Linked DNA regions of Kluyveromyces lactis. The protein of the gene in region 1 purifies or fractionates together with the protein of each later gene. This does not show direct contact. Links are inferred from orthologs where the notes say so. Each region holds a gene or a part of one and is shown on either strand. Other genes may lie near its edges.

Region 1 (4,374 bases):
AAGCGGCGGTTTCTTCCACCCAACTTGCCCAAAATACGCACAGTCGTATGACTTATTTGGTGATTGAATGGTTGCGGTTTCAATAAATCGAACAAAGCTTTCATAACATCACCGACAACTGGTTCCAAAATCGGGTCTAGATACTCTGGAGTTAGATTGTCGATACATAACTCCAAAGTCCTTAATCCTTGAGTTATCAATTCTGGAAATCCAACCAAGGCATACACTAATGGCTTCATTAGATAATTCAAATATGGTGCCAATACACTAAGCCTCACAGGCACAGTGAGACAGAGCTCCACATACAAATCGCGTTCGTGAGGGCGACAAGCTGTCTGGATCATCTTATTGAGGGACTGTAGAAGAGTTTGAAGTATTGGTTTTATTGAACGATACAAGTTTTCAAATCTGCCGCCACCAATACTTCTGAACAATGTTCTTATCAAATAGAAATACACCAAAGGCTCTTCAGCCTCTGTCGAATACTTCAAAGAATCTAAAATCAAATTATTCAAGTGAGGTAACAAGACCGCCTCATTGGTAATAGGGAAGAGATTGACAGACATGAATGATAGCTTGAATAGTCTGATGAGTATATTTGATTTGTTACTGTCCACATTCCCTAGTTCTGGAAGTTTGGAATTCAAGAACTTTAGAAGAATACCGGTGAAATTGGGAGATGTGATTTCACTTGTCAAGAATGATTGAGCAACATGCAACAAAGCTGAATCGCGTAGTAAAGATTCGTAGATAAAGACGATTTCACTCTCAACGATTTCATTGAAGACAGGACTGTCGATTTGCATGAAAATAATAGCGAAATAATCCATCAACTCTCGACCATCTTTAGTTGCTGACACAGGTAAGCTAGGTGTAGTTATATCGAAGTGTGCTTTTACTGTGGATGGATCAATGCCCTCTGGATTAGAAGAAAATAGATGTAGACCAGCTATACATTCATGGAACAAATTCTTCAACACGATCACCTCTTCGTAGGAAAATACTCTTGATAATGCAGACCACATTTTCGGATTCATTGTAGTATATTCATCTGGGGGTGGGTTAAAAACCTTCAAGTCATGAATAATGGTTTTCAGAAATGAAAGAAGAGTACGATATAAGTAAAATGCGTCCTTAAGAGGATCATTTGACGTCGCTTGGAAGAGAATTATTGGAGCATGATTTTGTATATCATTGAAGTCCAATATCTCAACTGAGTTTTCTTTGAACGATATATCCGAATTTTTATCTTGATTCTTTACAGTCAGTGATGTGTTATTATCACTATGCACCGAACTGTTACCTTTCTCTGATATATCAGGTTCTTCGCTCATAGTAATATCACCATCGACGTCGGCATTGGTATCAACAGTAACTGATGACGGTAACAATTCGTCTGTTGATTTCAAGATGTTAACCATATATTCATCAACATCGTGCCTGTCTTTCGCAAGTTGATCTTGGATCTCCTTAGATTTCTTATTTTTACTCTGTTCGTAGACATTATGTTGTTTTAATATCTTCTTATGCTGTGAATTTAATAGCTTGAATCTTGAAGTATAAGCCTCTATAATCGTCATTAGTAGCTTTTTGGCCTTAGGAACTTCATATGCGTCTTTCTTACCTAAAGTTAAAATCCGTTCTATTAAATTCAATAGTAGCTTAGCACTCATAATTTGCACAGTCAAAGCCAAAGACTCATCCAAAAGAAAACTGGTGTACATTTTAACAGTTTTTTCTATGTCAGCCATTGCCAAATCTGACCGAATATTATGAATGAAATCTGCAAGGGTACTGTACGCTAATGGTCTCAAGGTTTCATATGAAGTGAATCCATCACCAATCAAGACTTTTTGGTCAAACATCAAATTGATCTTGGGTAGAAACAATTTCTTATAACTTGTAGAGAGAATATGTCTCGTAGCATGTAATAATTCTTTACGTGCAGATGATAATTCACTTGGGCAGTCCTGTAATAATCTCATCACCAAATCTGGGACTTTCTTGACGTGTAGTTTCAAAATATCTGTAGCATAACCGCGAATAAACACATACGCTAAGAAAGAAGTTGCCTTGATTTGAGCTAGGACATAATCACAGAATGCAGAGCGGTTTTTGATTTCTGACGACATCCCAATAAGTTTTTCACCTTTAGCTTCTAGTTCTTCTCTGGATTTTTGCTGTTGTTTCACTTCCAAAGTGAGTAAGTCAATGACGAGTGGTAAAAAAGTCGGTAAGTCTACTAAAATCAAATGTTTATATGATGAAAATAAGGTCACCATTGTAATTGGGCATTCAGACAAAGTCTTGAATGATTCTGTAGCTTTTTCCAAATGTTTCTTGGACGGTGCAGACAAGTTTTCGAAAGCATCCTCCTCATTATTAGAGTTCGAAAAATCTTGTGAATCTGCAGTTGATGAGCTGGTTTCTTCTTCACCAAGGAAAGTAGATGCCACCAAGTTCGGTACGTTTTCATATATTCCAACGATAATTTTAATGAACGTATTCACTTCACTTTCTAATGGCTGCTTATAGCATTTGAACAACGAAGTGAGGATCTTCATACACAAGACACCATTTTCATCGTTTTCTAAGGTTAATATTTTTAACAGGCATTGCAGCACTTCCATGGCCATAGGTTCCATTTTATCGTTAAGTGGACATCTATTCAAAAGTTCTAGACATGTATTTCTCAACTTGTGTTCAGGAGATGAGGCATTCATTGAGATTTGATCATCATTCAACTGTGATAAAATGAGCGGCAACAACTTCTTCAAAAACTCATCGTATTCGACTGAAGAAGTTACAACATCCAAAACATCGTAAAGTTCTGATATAATGGCATGTCTTTCAGCAACATCTTCAGTATCCCTGATTCTTTCGACAAAAGTGTCCATTCTCTCATGAGTATCAGTTGATTCCATTGCTTATAAGTTACAATCGTTGCAGCTCAGCTATATTGAATAAAGAATCAAATTGCAGACCGCGTCTTCCTTTGAAATTAATGAATTAGGGAGGATGCAAGTTGAAATAAAAGAACAAAAATGCGAAGCTAGCTGATAGAACCTGTTGTCTAGTGATAAGGCGCTATAATTGCTTTGGTGGTTGAAGTTCGTGTATTCGTTTGAAATCAATACTACGCTTTTGTTGGTTGAGAGTACAGATTTCAATGTCATATCGAAATTTGAAAACAATTGGTACCAAGAAAAACAATTTGAAAAACCTCTGTAGACCTTGAAAAGTTTTGTATCACGTGATGACATTCCTATTTAGGAAGTGATCACGTGCATGATCCGAATAACTTACCCGGCTATTAATTTTTCATTGAAAATTACGTATTTGTTTTATTCTTTGCCATCATCAACAGAAAAATACGCACGAAATGTGAACGTTACTCTAGCAGATAAGCGGACAGCCAATGTGCATAATTTTTTGAGTGTCGAAAGATAGAACAATGGCGAAGGGTAAGTAGCGCTCACGATAACTCGTGTTTTTCACGGACAACATCTTATTAAAACAAGTACAACATAATCGTCGATTAAATTCAAGGCGGCTAACTTAAACGAATATCGTTTTTACTTACCAACTCGAAAAATGAGGCAATACCCCCCCTTTAGCTATTACTGGAACCATTAACTGCTTCTATTGATTGGACTGTGTGACGTAATCTGTGTGCATAAATTCACAGTTCACAAAGATCTACATACGGTTCTCAAAAAAGGGTTCATTCGGCCAGCACCGTACAGCTCTAATTAAGATTCGACAATTTTGTAGCGCTTCCCTGATAACCAGGTGATAGATTGTTTTACATTGTACCTTACAAATTCCTTCAAGAATTTAACTCTATCCTTGAAAAGGCGCTGAAAGTAGCTCTACTACGTTGTTTTGTTCTTCTTCATCTCCATTTCGAAAGCCTGTAAAACCAGAAGTACGCCTTGCATTCATGTTTTTTCAACCAAGGCTCAGAGTGTGGCGTGAAATTCACAGATCATCATGTAGAAAAAATATCCTTTTCCATCACTTTTTGCATCACATTTGGTAAAGAATCCCGTACCAAATGGATCACGTATTTGAAAAAAAGAACCGGAAAAAAACTGGTGTCAAGAATCTGTATGACGATAAGTAGACAGGCAAAAGCTTTGCCAGTTATTAGGCAAAAGAAGTTAAGGAATCACGACCTTGATCCGCATTATCAGTGGCATAAAGACCAGGCGTATCAGAACCCTTCAAGGGAAAGAAAATAATCAAAGCCGTTAATGAAGGCAGAAAGAGAGAGAGTTTTCCTTTGACAACTTAAAAACCTGTGTTTCCTTAGGCTAATAATAATCAGTGTATACCAAGTGAAACGTGAATGCTGACGGGTTCTACCAGATA
Region 2 (3,581 bases), on another chromosome or scaffold:
ATTGCAAAGTACTGAAATGTTGCTATACACTCCTTCTAACGAACACTTTGGAATTGTACCACTCGAGGCTATGAAGTATGGTGTACCTGTTTTGGCAGTAGATACGGGTGGTCCACTAGAAACAGTGGTAGATTACAATGAGACACCTTCTCATATTGATGCAACTGGTTGGTTACGACCATCCGATGCTGATGAATGGTCAAAAGTGTTGGATCAATCCGTAGACATATTTGAAAAGAATCACTCCTTATTCGAAGTTAACGGTCCTAAACGTATTAAGTACTATTTCTCCAGAGAAGCGATGTCCAAAAACTTTGATAATACCATCGACCATATTATTTGGAAGTCAAGAGGAACGCGTTTATGGAGCACATTAGCTCCAGGGCTACTGATGTTCACTGTCCAATATGCTACACTGTTGATAACAGGCGATGCTTCTTGGCCATATTTATTGCTAGCTGCGATTTCTTATTTTGTATTAAGAAGTGTAAAGGCCACTGTGTACTGGATCATCGTTTTCTGTTACCTAAACTATTCAACTTAAAAGCGAAGCCAATCTTAATTTATTATAACGACTTGTGCAAAATATATACACATACCCCTCAAAGTTAAGAGATGAAAAACAGACGTTAACAAGCTATTAAGTTTCTAAATATTACACTAATTAACTCTTCCTCCATATCCATTTACACCAAATTGAACACCAGGTTGATTTGAATTGCTTCGACTTTGAGTATTAACCGGTGAGCCTATTGTTTGCTGCATCAACTTAGAAGCCGTATCTAGTTGAGCACTGGCGTCTTCCATTCTTTTCTTCTGCAGGAGTTTCTGTTGCTGTTGTTGCATTATTAGCTGTTGAGTTTGAATATCCCGAGGGGTGATGCCCTGGGTCATCATGGGTTGTTGCCCTGCAGGTTTTCCAGCCTGAACTGACTGTGGAATTTGCATTTGCATTTGAGATAACGATCCGGTAGCACTAGATTGTCGTTGCCGCTGTTGTTGTTGCTGTTGTTGCTGCTGCTGCTGCTGTTGTTGTTTCAAACGTTGGGCCTGTAATATTTGAAGCTGTTCTGGTGTCAAGTTTTGAGGTGATGCGTTAATAGGTTGAGGCGTACGTATACGGAACGTATAATCAGTCGTTCTATCAATGTCAATAAGACCGACCCTTGAGCGGAACGCACCAACTCCAGGGCTCTTAAAGCCTGGTTTTATACTGAAAGCAGACCCAAACATTTCTCTCATTCTGACGTACTTGGTTCTTGATCGTGTAGAAGTCAATACCGTAGTTTCTAACGGTAGTGGGTATGAACGTGAAACACCGTTCAAAACCAGAGTAGTCTCTTCTTCAGGGGACAATTTGGGTAATGACTCATTGACCACTTCATTGCTGCTGGTTTTCCCAGTGTTTTTATCTTTCCCCTTTTGTTTAACTTGTGGATCCTGCTGATTTTGCTGTGCCTTTTGGATTCTAGTCTTGGACGCCGAAGATTTCAACTGGTTGCGTTTCTGATAATCAGCTAATAATATGTCAAATGGCTGTGACCGTCCCTCCACTGCACGTTTCGCTCCCATTGAGTGCGATTTACATGTTAATGATCTACCGCAAACACCACCTTCAGGTAATGGTACACCACACTGTTTATCGAAGTTAACCAGATGTGGCTCTGTCGGGTTTCGCTGTTTTATCTTCCTTTGTTTTCTAGTCGATCCAGAAGGAGTGGATGATTTCTGTTTCTTTGAAGGTGAATCGAAATTCTCAGGATCTATCGACGAGGATCTCTTATTACTCCCCTTACTTTTAGCAGGAGAAGACATGATATCCTGCGTCTCATTCTTTTTCACAGGCATTTTATCAATACAGTGATTCTCTAAATGATCTATAATAGCTGACACCAATACCGGCTGGTGGCAAGCTGTACAATTCCTATAACGGATATCCTCTTTAGAAACGCCAGATAAAACTTCTGACGGCCTGCTCAAGTATTTTGAACGAATATCCGTGGATGATAAATCCGAACTATTCCCGTTATTCTTAACAATAGACAGTAACTCCTTCCAACCGTTCTTGCTACTTCCTAAATCTTCTAATTGAATGTCTGATCTGATTCCTTTAATCTCTATATTGACACTTGACATGCTCTTGTACCAAAATCAGCCAGGTAAAAAAAAAATGATAGGGAGAATTACGATGGAAATGATGAATGAATTGAGACAAGCTAACAATGATCAAACTGTCCTTACCTAGCTTTCAAAAATAAACCAGAGTCTATCGGTGGTAATGCAAATTGGTGCCTAACTATGGTAAAAATAGCACGTTAAAAAAAAAGAATCTGGTATGAAGTGAGCCCTCAATATTGATTGTACAAAAGTAACTTTTGTGGCAGGTAAATAACACGTTAGAACTATCTCAAAAGCCTTTTAAAATCTTTGGATCACCCGCTCTAAATACTTTCAAGCATCTGAATTCATGTATTATCTTATGAAATGTTTCTGTCCATCGGTATGTTATTCCTGTCGAAATCGTCGACTTTCAGAAAGGGAAACTTGAAAGTTCTTACAATCACGTGATATGACTTAATGGAATGTGTCAATCCCCCACACACCAATTGGTCCGTCGATAATCGAATTGCAAGCTAAATATAACATATTTCAGGATATTAACTTCCTATGGTATGTGTGTTATATAGATTGTCTACGAAATGAAATGACATTTAAATGAAGTGGATTCTTCTTAACAATAAAACGGTTACTTTCAACAAGGTGATATCATGGAATACTGGGACAGTGGCCCATCTTGAGCTAAGGATCCTTTCAGCCACTTCGAATACCCGAAGTCTAAGGTATAGTCTAAAACCTTCAGAGCTATTGAAAATTGGCGGTACAAACGGCACTGCTTTCCGAATGTACTCATCTCGAATTGACACTGAAGCTACCGGATCATCAACGATAATCCCGGTAATGGTCATACTACTGATATATTTGATGTCAATTTCGGAATTGACGGTCCAAAGGTATACGGCAAGGTTGTTTTCTTGCAAGTATGGTAATACAGTTTTCTTGAAATCGGGTTTCCAAGAGTTAATGAAATGAAGACTGACACCATGCAACTTGTAGTTGTCATCGCTCAAGGATTTAGAGTATTCGACAAATTTAGTAGCCATCGCTGTGAAGGGTAAGATGGCCACGATCTTGAAACCCTTCAGTGTGGCCGTGGTGACCCCGTATTTGTACCAATCAAGTTGCCACAATCCGAACATCAAACGTTGCCTCCAGAAATCTAAATCATCGACTACTGCTCTCATTTCAAGAATCGCCTTGATTAAAAGAACCTTATCATTTGTAGGCTTGATATCCAACATAAATTTCATTGTAGGGTGTTCTTTTAACCATTGTAAGGCGTCCTTGAATGTCGTTATCCTGATTTCTGGATTTATCTTACTCTTCAACAGTAGTAATTCATCCAAGTTCGTCTCACCTATCACGACATTTTGGTCCCAAACTCTCTCTGTATTGATATCATGGTTCATTACTATCTTACCATCTTTAGTCAACTGTAAATCAGTCTCGATTACTTCCGATCC

Evidence for each region.
Region 2: the proteins of TRA1 (region 1) and SGF73 purify together in Saccharomyces cerevisiae (affinity purification with mass spectrometry; 8 studies listed by BioGRID, with this or other methods). This does not show direct contact. The link is inferred for Kluyveromyces lactis from reciprocal best matches to the Saccharomyces cerevisiae genes TRA1 and SGF73.

Annotation. Positions count from the first base shown.
Region 1 is NC_006042.1:2,059,404-2,063,777, forward strand, and holds the start of TRA1 (histone acetyltransferase TRA1), read right to left. Parts: upstream 2,925-4,374; coding exon 1-2,924. UniProt on the Saccharomyces cerevisiae protein: Essential scaffold subunit of the transcription coactivator SAGA complex. SAGA acts as a general cofactor required for essentially all RNA polymerase II transcription.
Region 2 is NC_006038.1:214,083-217,663, forward strand, and holds SGF73 (deubiquitination module subunit SGF73), read right to left. Parts: upstream 2,137-3,581; coding exon 661-2,136; downstream 1-660. Other genes in the region: ALG2 (GDP-Man:Man(1)GlcNAc(2)-PP-dolichol alpha-1,3-mannosyltransferase), read left to right, coding at 1-544; PGC1 (phosphatidylglycerol phospholipase), read right to left, coding at 2,712-3,581. UniProt on the Saccharomyces cerevisiae protein: Component of the transcription coactivator SAGA complex. SAGA acts as a general cofactor required for essentially all RNA polymerase II transcription. At the promoters, SAGA is required for transcription pre-initiation complex (PIC) recruitment.